3 linked regions of the Arabidopsis thaliana genome follow. The main gene of each other region encodes a partner of the protein of the gene in region 3 in a complex. Each region holds a gene or a part of one and is shown on either strand. Other genes may lie near its edges. The genes, in order: LSM3A, LSM1B and LSM2.

What was found.
Region 1: LSM2 (region 3) and LSM3A share a complex: the UniProt entries of both Arabidopsis thaliana proteins name them as parts of the heptameric LSM1-LSM7 complex.
Region 2: LSM2 (region 3) and LSM1B share a complex: the UniProt entries of both Arabidopsis thaliana proteins name them as parts of the heptameric LSM1-LSM7 complex.

What each region holds. Positions count from the first base shown.
Region 1 is NC_003070.9:7,419,037-7,422,744, forward strand, and holds LSM3A (Small nuclear ribonucleoprotein family protein), read right to left. Parts: upstream 1,922-3,708; 5' UTR 1,821-1,921; coding exon 1,704-1,820; intron 1,452-1,703; coding exon 1,356-1,451; intron 1,034-1,355; coding exon 953-1,033; 3' UTR 628-952; downstream 1-627. Other genes in the region: SEC5B (Exocyst complex component SEC5), read left to right, coding at 1-49, 160-375; AT1G21200 (sequence-specific DNA binding transcription factor), read left to right, coding at 2,447-3,708. UniProt on the Arabidopsis thaliana protein: Component of LSM protein complexes, which are involved in RNA processing. Component of the cytoplasmic LSM1-LSM7 complex which is involved in mRNA degradation by promoting decapping and leading to accurate 5'-3' mRNA decay.
Region 2 is NC_003074.8:4,665,453-4,669,832, reverse strand, and holds LSM1B (Small nuclear ribonucleoprotein family protein), read right to left. Parts: upstream 2,526-4,380; 5' UTR 2,342-2,525; exon of another isoform or gene 2,232-2,341; 5' UTR 2,117-2,231; coding exon 2,056-2,116; intron 1,504-2,055; exon of another isoform or gene 1,484-1,503; coding exon of another isoform or gene 1,453-1,483; coding exon 1,384-1,452; intron 1,293-1,383; coding exon 1,177-1,292; intron 1,092-1,176; coding exon 1,029-1,091; intron 922-1,028; coding exon 844-921; 3' UTR 639-843; downstream 1-638. Other genes in the region: EXO70D3 (exocyst subunit exo70 family protein D3), read left to right, coding at 1-325; AT3G14075 (Mono-/di-acylglycerol lipase, N-terminal;Lipase, class 3), read left to right, coding at 3,495-3,791, 3,897-4,094, 4,178-4,380. UniProt on the Arabidopsis thaliana protein: Component of the cytoplasmic LSM1-LSM7 complex which is involved in mRNA degradation by promoting decapping and leading to accurate 5'-3' mRNA decay.
Region 3 is NC_003070.9:817,337-821,124, forward strand, and holds LSM2 (Small nuclear ribonucleoprotein family protein), read right to left. Parts: upstream 2,228-3,788; 5' UTR 1,962-2,227; coding exon 1,959-1,961; intron 1,743-1,958; coding exon 1,584-1,742; intron 945-1,583; coding exon 825-944; 3' UTR 598-824; downstream 1-597. Other genes in the region: AT1G03320 (uncharacterized protein), read left to right, coding at 1-431; AT1G03340 (uncharacterized protein), read left to right, coding at 2,376-2,447, 2,561-2,741, 2,823-3,165, 3,259-3,330, 3,402-3,788. UniProt on the Arabidopsis thaliana protein: Component of LSM protein complexes, which are involved in RNA processing. Component of the cytoplasmic LSM1-LSM7 complex which is involved in mRNA degradation by promoting decapping and leading to accurate 5'-3' mRNA decay.

The sequences.
Region 1 (3,708 bases), 6.6 Mb from region 3:
TGCAATTTCAGATGACAAACAATCATCCGTATCCCCAGATGATCTCCTTGTAAGAACATTTTTCATTAACCACCACTTAATATTTACCATCTTCAATACTTAAAACCGCTAGCACATTCAGTTAAAAGCGGGTTTGCTTTGTTACTGTTGCTGCTTTAGGCTCTTGCACAGCAATGTACAAGCGGAATGCTTCAACTGGAGCTAGAGAAGACCCGTTTGAACAGTGCATGTTTCATTGAGACCATTCCGTTGGATCCAGTGCCACCAGTAGCCAAAGCTGCCTACTCCAGAACATCAACTGATTCTCCAAGCAGAAACTATAGAGAGTCACAACCAATGGGTTCTCCGGTTCAAGCCAGACCCAGACGAAGATAAGACTTCTCTTCTCCATTGTTACTATGCTCGAAGCGTGTTGGTGATCATGACAAGTTATATCTTACGATAGATACCTCAAAACTTTTAATTTCATCACTAATCTTTTTTTTACTGTAAATTTACATGCTTACAATTACATTAATCTTTTCTCATGAAATCAATCTTGTTTGCGTTTTCAGCCTCCTGTACTGTGAATCAATTTGATGGTTTGGTTAATCAAAATGTCTTTCCTAGGGTTACACACATCTAAATATGTCACCAATCACTATTCATAATAGAGCTCGAAATCAATGAGTTTGAGGAAGTATACAAATCTTTAGAGAAAACTACACCAAACCAGAAAACGAAACTAAATCCGATCGTAAACGGTAAGAAAGTCACAATACGAAGTATGTTACACTGATTCTACTATAACGAGGCACCCATTACCAAGATTCGAATGCTACATTCGGTTTCAATGTTTGACAACAAAGAAAAACATACCACACAATTACAAATTCAAAAGCCAAGTAATCAGAAAAAAGTGCTTTTACTCAGCGCCAGATTTGTTAACTCCGATCCCAGTACACAAGAACATTTAGGTCGTCCTCAAAGGCGGTGACACCAATATCACTCCATCTCCTCTCACGAATAGAAACGGTACCGTTCGCTTCGTTGTCTGACAGAAGCAAGTTACATCAGCAGGAGAAGAACATATGATTCTACACTAGTCTAATGAGAAGTTAGCACATCACATTTGGAGCGCAAACAACAAAATTCAAGTTTGAGAAACTAAACAGAGTTACTATATTGGTAATGAACACTCTCTATGTAACCAGCACTATTAACTTCTACATGAATCAAGCTCTCCTTTAAACTCAAACAGAGACATAGACAATAGATACTGTGATAGCTGAAATATTTTGAACCCAAAAACGTTTATCTTACTACTAAAGCCTACATAGATTAATAAATCTTATTGAGCTAAGAGAATTACATACCCGAACAATCTCTTCATATGTCTCGTCGTCGATTTCTATAGTCGTAATAACCTCTTCAACATCACCCAGAATCATATTCAAATGCTGATCAAAAGCCTACACCACAAAAACAACAACAAAAGTGAGAGTCTTAGAATTTAACAAGATTATGAGGTTTTCTACGCCAATTAGCTCTCGCTGAGGCTTTCGAAACTGAAACTCAACAAAATGGGTCCAAATTTTGATATTTGTGAAAAGAATAAAAACTAGTGTTAAATTCAACGAATAAGGAATTCAAAAAGGAGCTCAAAATCGAAAAAGATCACATCTGGTTACTGGTTTCTGGAATCCGAGTGGTTAAGAACGTACGTGAAGCTTGCCGCGGAGTTCACGGTCAGATCGGAGCTTGACATAGATCCTCTCTTCGATACTCAACCGAATCAGATCGAGTGGCTCTCTAACGGTGGCGTCTTCCTCGACTGACATTTTCTGATTATAACTTCTCCGAGGGTTTTGAAATTGTAGTGCTCTCGGCGATATCTCTCTGACTGAGCTCAAGCAATCGCCACCGTTGGTTCCCTAAAAACTTCAAACCAACATCTTACGATTCGGCCTTTTACTATGTTTTTGGGCTCTCATATCGGCCCAATATGGTTAGCTCTTTTTTTTTTTTTCGTCGAAGTATTATGAAGATAATAAATCATCTAATGCAAATAAATCATGGTTAGTGGAACTTAACTATATTAAGTCCAATCACAAGGTATCAATTGGTCATTTCATTACACTAAATTTACTATAATCTTTATATTGGTTGTTTTAATCAAAAAGCCTTTTGTCATATACAGAGAGAGAAGAGAAACCTGAGGAAGCTGACCGGAGAAGACGAAAGCAAACTTTTTTCTGTGAGTTTTACTTCCTTTGACTCATCTCTCATATATTTACCGCTTTATTTTCTTCATCCCGATTCCTCTCTGCTTCATTCTCTCCTAAAGTTTCGATCTTTAATATTCCCCTAAGATCCAGTACTAATTTTGTTGACAAAGGTTTTGACTTTTTGAGATCTGTTTTCTCTTCGATTTCTCTGATGAATTAGGAAGAAATTTGATCCAAAAATGGATGGGAATTTTCCACAAGGAGGTGTAGTTCGTAGTGGAGCTTCATCTTATGGAGGATTTGATTTACAAGGTTCTATGAGAGTTCATCACCAAGACTCCATGAATCAGCAGCATCGACACAATCCTAATTCTAGACCACTTCATGAAGGTCTTCCCTTTACTATGGTTACAGGTCAAACCTGTGATCATCATCAGAATCAGAACATGTCTATGTCTGAGCAACAGAAAGCTGAAAGAGAGAAGAATTCAGTGAGTGATGATGATGAACCAAGTTTCACAGAGGAAGGTGGTGATGGTGTTCATAATGAAGCTAATAGATCAACTAAAGGATCTCCATGGCAACGAGTGAAATGGACTGATAAGATGGTGAAGTTGTTGATTACTGCTGTTTCTTATATAGGAGATGATTCGAGTATAGATAGTAGTAGTAGAAGAAAGTTTGCTGTTTTGCAGAAGAAAGGGAAGTGGAAATCTGTTTCTAAAGTTATGGCTGAGAGAGGTTATCATGTTTCGCCGCAGCAATGTGAGGATAAGTTCAATGATTTGAATAAACGGTATAAGAAGCTTAATGATATGCTTGGTAGAGGAACATCTTGTCAAGTTGTTGAGAATCCTGCGCTTTTGGATTCGATTGGTTACTTGAATGATAAAGAGAAGGATGATGTTAGGAAGATTATGAGTTCTAAACATCTTTTTTATGAAGAGATGTGTTCGTATCATAATGGGAATAGGTTGCATTTGCCTCATGACCTTGCTTTGCAGCGTTCGTTACAGTTGGCGCTTAGAAGCAGAGATGATCATGATAATGATGATTCTAGGAAACATCAAATGGAGGATCTTGATGATGAGGATCATGATGGTGATGGTGATGAACATGATGAGTATGAGGAGCAACATTATGCGTATGGAGATTGTAGGGTAAATCATTATGGAGGTGGTGGTGGTCCTTTGAAGAAGATAAGACCAAGCCTTAGCCATGAAGATGGAGATCATCCGAGTCATGTGAATTCTCTGGAGTGTAATAAAGTCTCTTTACCTCAAATACCGTTTTCTCAAGCTGATGTGAATCAAGGTGGGGCGGAGAGTGGAAGAGCAGGTTCGGTGCAGAAGCAGTGGATGGAGTCGCGGACTCTCCAGCTAGAAGAGCAGAAGCTTCAGATCCAAGTTGAATTGCTGGAATTGGAGAAACAGAGATTCAGGTGGCAGAGGTTTAGCAAGAAAAGGGATCAAGAACTCGAGAGAATGAGAATGGAGAATGA
Region 2 (4,380 bases), on a different chromosome or scaffold from region 3:
ACATGTGAGTGGGAGTTTCTCCTCAGGTGTATCAAGAAGTGCATTAAGAGAGAGGTTTAAGGCATTCAATACAATGTTCGAAGAGGTTCACAGGACTCAGTCCACATGGTCGGTTCCAGATGCTCAGCTTAGAGAAGAACTCCGAATATCGCTATCCGAGCATCTAATCCCTGCTTATAGATCGTTTCTTGGAAGGTTCAGGGGTCATATAGAGAGTGGAAGACACCCTGAGAACTATTTGAAATATTCGGTTGAAGATATCGAGACCATCGTTCTAGATTTCTTCGAAGGATATACCACACCACCACACTTGAGGAGGCGATAAAAGAAGATCGAAAACCCGAGAGTTCTATCTTCTTTCTTTCGTTTTTCAGTCACATTAGGATGTCATAGAAATAGAACCATTCTTTGAATTTTTATTCACGGGTTTCCTGCCCGGTGGAATAATCTCCAGGTGAACATATTTGTGTGTTGTTGTTTGTGCCATATGTCTTCTATTTATAAAAGTCCTGATTGATCACAGAACCAATAAGTACCATGTAAATTTTGCAATGTGCGACGTCCTCTACTCATTTGCTCCATTTTTGTTCCGTTTGGTAGTAGCCATAGGCAAGCTCCTTGTTTAAAAGTTCCAAAATAGAGAAAGAAATTGCTTAACATTTTTTTCTTAAAAAGGTAAATAGATCCAAAGACAAAAGTACACAGATTTATTGTCATATTCATCCAAAATGAAACACAAGAATTGCGTCGATCCCCTAAGTCAACACACCAAAAAGGCTCATCATAAAACTTGCGAGCCAAAGCAGAGCATCAAGCCAATAATGAATGGGGATACAATCTGGTTTAATCAAAGTCAAGAAACTCCATTCTCTTCCTCATTGTTCCTCTCAGCTCACTCGCTTCCCTCTCCACCTTTTGTGCCTGCATCAACAGACAGATTCCCGAAAACCAAATCATCAGCACGCACACAGCATCACAAATGAATCAAATTTGGCTAATCAAAATGAACATGTTATGCGATGTCTTACCCTTTTAATCTCTGCCTCTGAGACGCGAATCATATGTGGAGGAAGCTCTTCTCTCTCCGTGTCCTAATACATAGTTTAAGGTCAAACTCAGTGAATTGGAAAACACGAGGTGACACAGCAAGAAAAGACAAACAAGGAGAAGTCTTACCAGCTCACCAATCAAAACAACATTCTCTCCACGGATTACATAGAGGCCTAAAGGAATGTCACAGTATTGTTCACCAACAATTACCCTCTCACACGCACCTTCTAGAACCGCATTGGCTGTGTATTTACAACGAACAAAAAAAAGTCAAATCTCTCCCGCTCATCAACAATATCGTAAATCTAGAAACATGGAAAGAAAAGTGAATACCGAATTGATCAAAGGAACGGAGTGTTCCCATTAGCTTTCTACCATCTCTAAGAAGCACAAGTAGTTTTCCTGCATCATCAAGAGCAGAGCCAACATACATAAGTAACTGATGCACATTGATTCATATCTAAAAAAGAAAACGGTACGCCAAATGAGATTGAGAACTAACTCATAGCCCAAAAACATCAGCAAAAGAAGATCATTGACTTTTAAACTCAAAGAACCAACATCAAAAAGCCGATAGTGAATTAAATTTCAACAAAGGTTAAAGTTTATACTTCGTAAGTTGAATAAAGAGTGAGCCAGCAACCTCAATCACATCTAATCTCTCACGCATGCTAAAATTTAGCTTGACAACAATAACTGATGAACAGTTAGATTTGACCCAATTAAAAAAAAACTAAAGCTTTGATTCAATAATCAATATCTTAATCAATGAATGTCTCTTTGAGACAATTCAACACCAAAATTGACAAGCTTTGGATACAGCCACAAAATAGTACAGCCTATATATCAATAAGAAGTCAAAATCAAACGTCAAAAAAACAGAGAATTGTTTGCAAAATTGAGCTCCCAAATGCGTACAGAGCCATCACGGCCAATTATTTTAACTACATGCATTCATACGGTTCAACAAATATGTGAAACAGAGAGAAAGAGAGACGGATTTACTATCGAGATAACTAGCGAGTGATGTTGAAAGATAAATTTCTTCAGGACCAGCCCACGACATCGCCACTGACTTTGAAATTGAAGAAAACTTTCGGTCTTTCTATAGAACACTACCGATGATAATAATGTTCGTCAGATTCCAGCTGAAGAGATAAGATTTGGCTATTGAACGCGAACTTTGACAGGAAAAAAAAAAAGTGAAGACGGAAAGAGAAATCTAAATTAGGGTTTTGACCAAAGGGTTTAAATTGATAAAGTGATTAAAAAAGATTGAGACTTTCGACACCTGATCGAAGACGGACACGGGTTCTTCAAAAAAATATAAAACCCAGATCCGATCGAACTTTGGCTGAGAAAATTTGTTTGTGGAAAATTCGAAGAGAAAACTAGCGAGCAAATCCGTCCACTGTCCCTTTTTTATTATTTTCAAGCAATGTCCACGATTTCTTAACTCGATAGATAAGACGTTGTACTTTAATACTTTAAGCACTTTCCAATTTAATGTTAAATTTCCTAATAATTATTGTGACTGAATGTTTCTTAAATAAATGAGACTAATCTTCCAAGCTAATAAAATATCTGTTTCGAATAAATTTTAATTTATGGACCAAAAAAGTCGATTTAACACTATTATTATTTACTGCTTGATTTATGTTAAAACGCTTTTATGGGTAAGTCATCCAATAATATATTCCCACGTAAGCATCAGATCTCGGCGGCGCGAAACTACGCGGCGTTCGCTTAGCACAAAAACGTAGCGCAGTTTATTTAAAGCAAAACAAAAAATTCTGTTTTCACACTTTTGCATTGCAGCATCTTGTAGCTAACAACATCATCGGAGAGAAAGCAGCTTCCCCTTCCCGGAGATATCGTACATAAGCTAAAGCAACCTTAACCTTCCTTCTCCACTGTAAAACCCTCAAATTAAGGTCACGATTTCGTCTTATTTTTCCAGGTTTGATTCACAAAGAACTTCGTGTTTTAACGATGCTATTCTTGGGGTAGGATTTAGGGTTTTGTTTCTATAGTTCACCGATCCTGTTCAATTTTAAGCTAAATCACATTCAATTTTATGATTTGCATCGGTTAAAAGACGCGATAGTTATCAGGAGTAGGGTTTGTTGTGGTATTCGAGAAGTTTCAGGAAAGTGAGAGTTTTCTATTAATGGCTTCTTTTTTTTGTATCCCGAATTCTTTGGGGTTAATTGGTGAAAAGAATGTTCTTTGTACGAAATTATATCCAATTTTCCAGCTTTACATGTTTTTGGAGATTTCTGGAATAAGTCTGAGATACTTAAGAACGCATCTGGAGATTGAAATTGTGGCATCCAATGTAGTTTCAATCGATTTTGTCTTTAAATTTTGTATTCTTATTAGATTGAGTTTCGTCTTGGATTGAGCGAATTTGTTTCATTGATGATTTTAGGGATAGATTGATCATGGCAACTGCAACTATGGCAACAGCAGCTGGAGCAGCTGCTCTTTTATATTACACGTTGAATCGGAAATTAATAGCTGGTCCATCTGACGTTGACGATGAGAATTCTGAAGCTTCTGCTTCTCGTCCTTCTTTGAGGATTGACCGTGTTTCGCATAGGCTTATTCAAGCTCCGGCAACTTGGTTGGAGACTATTTCTACTCTTTCTGAGACTCTTCGTTTTACTTACTCTGAGACTCTTGGGAAGTGGCCTATTGGTGATCTTGCGTTTGGGATCAATTTTCTCATCAAGAGGCAGGTATAACATCTCTTCATCGTTTTAACGGTCTTAAGTTCTGGATTTTTTTCTAATTATCTTGTGGTCAAAATTGAACTTTTTGTAATTGTGTACCTAAAACCGTAGGGACTTCTACATGTTGATCGTGTCTTTGGTGGTAAAGATAGTGTAGAACTTAGAGGATCAGAAGTAGCCACTGAACTCAAATATCTTTTGCACTTGTTGACATTGTGTTGGCATTTTTCCAAGAAGTCGTTTCCGTTTTTCTTAGAAGAGACCGGCTTTACAAAGGAAAATGTCCTTATTCATGAACCCAAAGCTGGGGTAAACTTTAACAACTCTCAACTCTTAGGCACTTTTTCAACATAGAAATTGAGAAGTTTAGTTTTGAATTTTGCACCATGTAGATATTGAAGCCAGCTTTTACGGTTCTTGTCGATCACAATACAAAATATTTTCTGTTATTGATTCGTGGAACGCATAGCATCAAAGATACCTTGACTGCTGCAACTGGAGCAATCGTACCGTTCCATCATACTGTTGTAAATGAAAGAGGGGTCAGCAATTTGGTCTTAGGTTATGCTCATTGTGGTATGGTTGCTGCTGCCCG
Region 3 (3,788 bases):
ATGGTAAAAACTTGTCAAGCGAGGAAAATGGTGGTAAAAACTTGCCAAGCGAGAAAAATGGTGTGAACCCGCCGCCGCCTTGTTACACCGCTCAACCGATGATGTACCATGGTGGACACAATCCTTTACACCGGTGGCCCATATCCGCAGCCTCGAGAAGCCATTATCCCCCGTTTTCGATGGGGGCAATGCATGGACCATATGGTGGTTGTGGACCTTGTGGTGGTCCAATTGATCCATACCAATCCATGCCTCGACCCAGAATGTTCGATGGTGTTCACATTTCACAATATCCGCCTATGGCTGCAGCATATCCGTATATGGCTGCAGCTGGTCCTTTCCCCTATTGGCAAACCAGACCGTACATGGATGCAAATCCTATGAAGCGTTACACTACCTATGCAGAAAATTACTCCTATTTTTATTCATGAGTCTATGTTTTTCCTCTGTTTGCTTCATCTCAGAAATAAGAAACTAAATTAATGACAAGAGTTAAGGTCCTATTGCTGCTATGCAAACAAGAACTCATATTACTTTATATAAGTTCCTTCTTACTGAGTCTATATGTTTTTCCTCTGCTTGCTTCATCTAAGAAAGGGAAAAACTTAAGTAGTGACAGCCTGACAAGAGTGAAGGTGTTTCTAAGTAGGCTTTAATAAGCTTTTCATTTGAACGAGGAAAAGAAATTAAATTATCCATTGTTAATAAAATGGAACAAGATTCATGGCCATACCATTGGCTCTACATCAGGGAAATATTCATTATAAAGCCATTACGCCGAATGAAAAGTATTCAAGTTTTGGAGATACAAAGATATTTCAGAATCAGCCACCCCTAGCTTCTCTTCTAGCTGCGTCGTGAAGCAAATCAACATCGACTCCATCTTTAGGTAACTGCACGTACCTTACCACAGATCCTCTGATGAAACAGTTTCTCACTGAAAGCTACACAGAACAAACACACAAATCCGTCAGCTAAAAACATCTTCGGGAGGATTCTAGCGAAATTGTACTATTTGACAAGGTTTCTAAAGTGTGACACTGACAAGATAAAGAAATACAGTGCCAAAGATATAACAATATAAACGCCATAAAACCTAAATGCATTGAAATTGGTCATGCAAACATATTGCAAATCTTTTGTAATCCTGAGTAGACTTGACAAATTGCAGTACAAAAGCAGCAATCTCAATCAAATATGTGAACCAGAACCACTAATCACTTCAAATCATCCCTTTGCGTCTGTAAATCTAATCAATATCACGTTAGAGCTTCTCAAGCTTGGTCACAGTAAATGAAAGCAAGGAAAAAGAAAAGAGTGAAGGCTTAAACACATTTGCAAGAGCCAAGGATTAAGCTTTCAATCAGTTCATAAGTGATATTTTACAATACGAGACAAAGAAGTATAGCAAGAAACTAGCGAGTGAGATCAATTCCAGTATAATGTCAAACACTTAAGAGCACTTCAAGCACACACAACAAAGAAAATATTGCCTATGTGAACAAAAAAAAAACAATAGGCTGCTCCAATAAACCCTAAATTCCCAATTCTTAGAGAAATCGCTTAAAAGAAAGAAAATTTACCATGTGAGGGTACTTGTCCTGGTCAACAACCCTAGTGTTCTCGAGCTTGATATTCAGATACTGATCAACTGAGTGAAGAGTTCCTCTTATGGCTAAATCATTCTTCAGCTCAACCGTCACTTCTTGTCCAACCAAATCCTTGAAGTAAGAAAAGAACAACTGCACCAGAGAACAAACACAATCAAAACCCATCACGAGAAACCCTAAATCATCATCGAAAACCATAAACTCGAAATCTCCAAGAACCCTAGAACCATTGGCTAAAAAAGAGTAAACCCATGAATAATTACGAAGAAAGAAGAAACCTTTTCTAGGTCAAACAAAACAACTGCCAACAATCAAGTTCATGAAGATGAAGAAAGCATTCAAATTTACCATTTTTGTTTCCTGCTGATTTCTACCTCTGCTCGCAATTCAACAAAGAAGCTGAAAAAGCTTTGCGGGATTTGAGGACTTTAGAACTTCTCTCTCTCGAGTAAAGAATGTATGTACCCTAATGATCTTTGGGTTAATTTCGAGAATATAAGAAACCAAAGGTATATTTATGTAATTATTGAAAAGATTGGGTATGTTCTTGGTAATTTAAGTAATAAGTGCCTCAAAGGGTAAATATTTAAAAACTCAAAGTGTGTTTTGGTCACCAGCCAAAACTGAATAAAGAAAAGATTTACACAAATCTTATAATATCTGACGCATATATAGGCGAGATTGCTGACGATAAGCTTTTTCGTTTTGTTTCCATGGTTTTGTGACGAAGAAGAGAAAAAAAAATAAGAAGTCAGTTTTTTCTCAATGGCTTCTCATAGCTATTCAACACTTAGGTTTAGTCTCCTTCAAGAGCTAAGAAGCAACGAGATCATCAAGGTCAGTTTTTTACTTTCTCTGTTTTAAAACACTTGGGTTTAGAATCTCTCGTTGAATTCTTGTCCTGGTTCTGTCTTCTCCTTGTTTGGTTCTTATGTCTATGAATGATTCAGACAAGCCGGGCTTATCTGGTGAATCCTGGAGGAAGAAAATATGAGATATTACCGGAGAGCTCCTTTAACCTGAAATCACAACTCTTGGAGCCATTGAAACCTTTTTCTTCTTTTAGTAAGTCTAACCACTTTTTGGAGTTTGATTCAACCATGATGAAGCATAGACTCATGGATGTTCATGGTATGTGACTTTGATCAAATTTCAGTTGAATTCACCAAATTGTAATCCCTTTTTTCGACTGACATGAACTGTGGTTAACAGAAACTGGACCAGACCCTGTGTGTTTAAGCTTGGGGATCACTCAGCAGTATGCAAGAAAAGAGGAGGTGTTAGAGTTCCTTTTGTCTAGATCAGAAGAAGAACTCAAAGAAGAAGGATTCGATTTGTCTCTCCTATCTGAATTGATGGGTCTAGATGCTTTAAGATCAAGTTCTCAGCAACCATATGCAAAGCCGTTATTGGATCTCATGGTGGATGCTAACATTCTGTTCTCAAGTAGCAGAGCTGAATTGAATGATTTGGTCTCTACGGCAGCTGAGTTTCATAGATTAAGGAACTCAACAAGATGGAGAAAGCTCTCACGGCTTGTCCCGCAGTTTCAGCGGTAGTTAATTCTTCACTGCAAGTTTGATTCATACCTATGAGTCTCATCCTTTTGGGTTTAACATTAAGTTTTTGCTCTCCTCTCATTCTGCAGATTCGACAGTGAAGTACCAATAGACACTCTGCAGCTACCCGAGGACGCAGTTACACTAGCTCCTCCAAAGAGGTATCTAATATCATCAACTAGTTTTTGGTACTTTTGCATCTTTAAAAAACGTTTCTTTCGATTTCCAACAGTCCGAAGAAAACCAGGCTCAAGCCTTCACCAAAGAAACAAAATCCGAAGATAAGAGATAAGGAATATGACCTCTACGAACGAAACCGTCTTCATGCGTGTGAGAGCCTTCTCTCTCTGATGATAGGCAATGAACAACATAGAAAAACCACAATGCTATCTCTAAAGAAATCACGTGGAGAACTCTTCGAGCTTTTGACTCAGTGTTCAATTGGCTTTGCTGGCACTGGTATGGCTGTGCTCTTCTTTCTCGTTTGTAATGTTGCTTCCAGGCAGGTACCCTTTTGCGCAAACCAATTCTTCGAGGGTGCAATGAGTTTGAGTTTGGTATTGCTCTCGTGGTCTGTGAGTAGACTCAGGGAAGCCCTTGTTAATTTCAATAGGAAAAC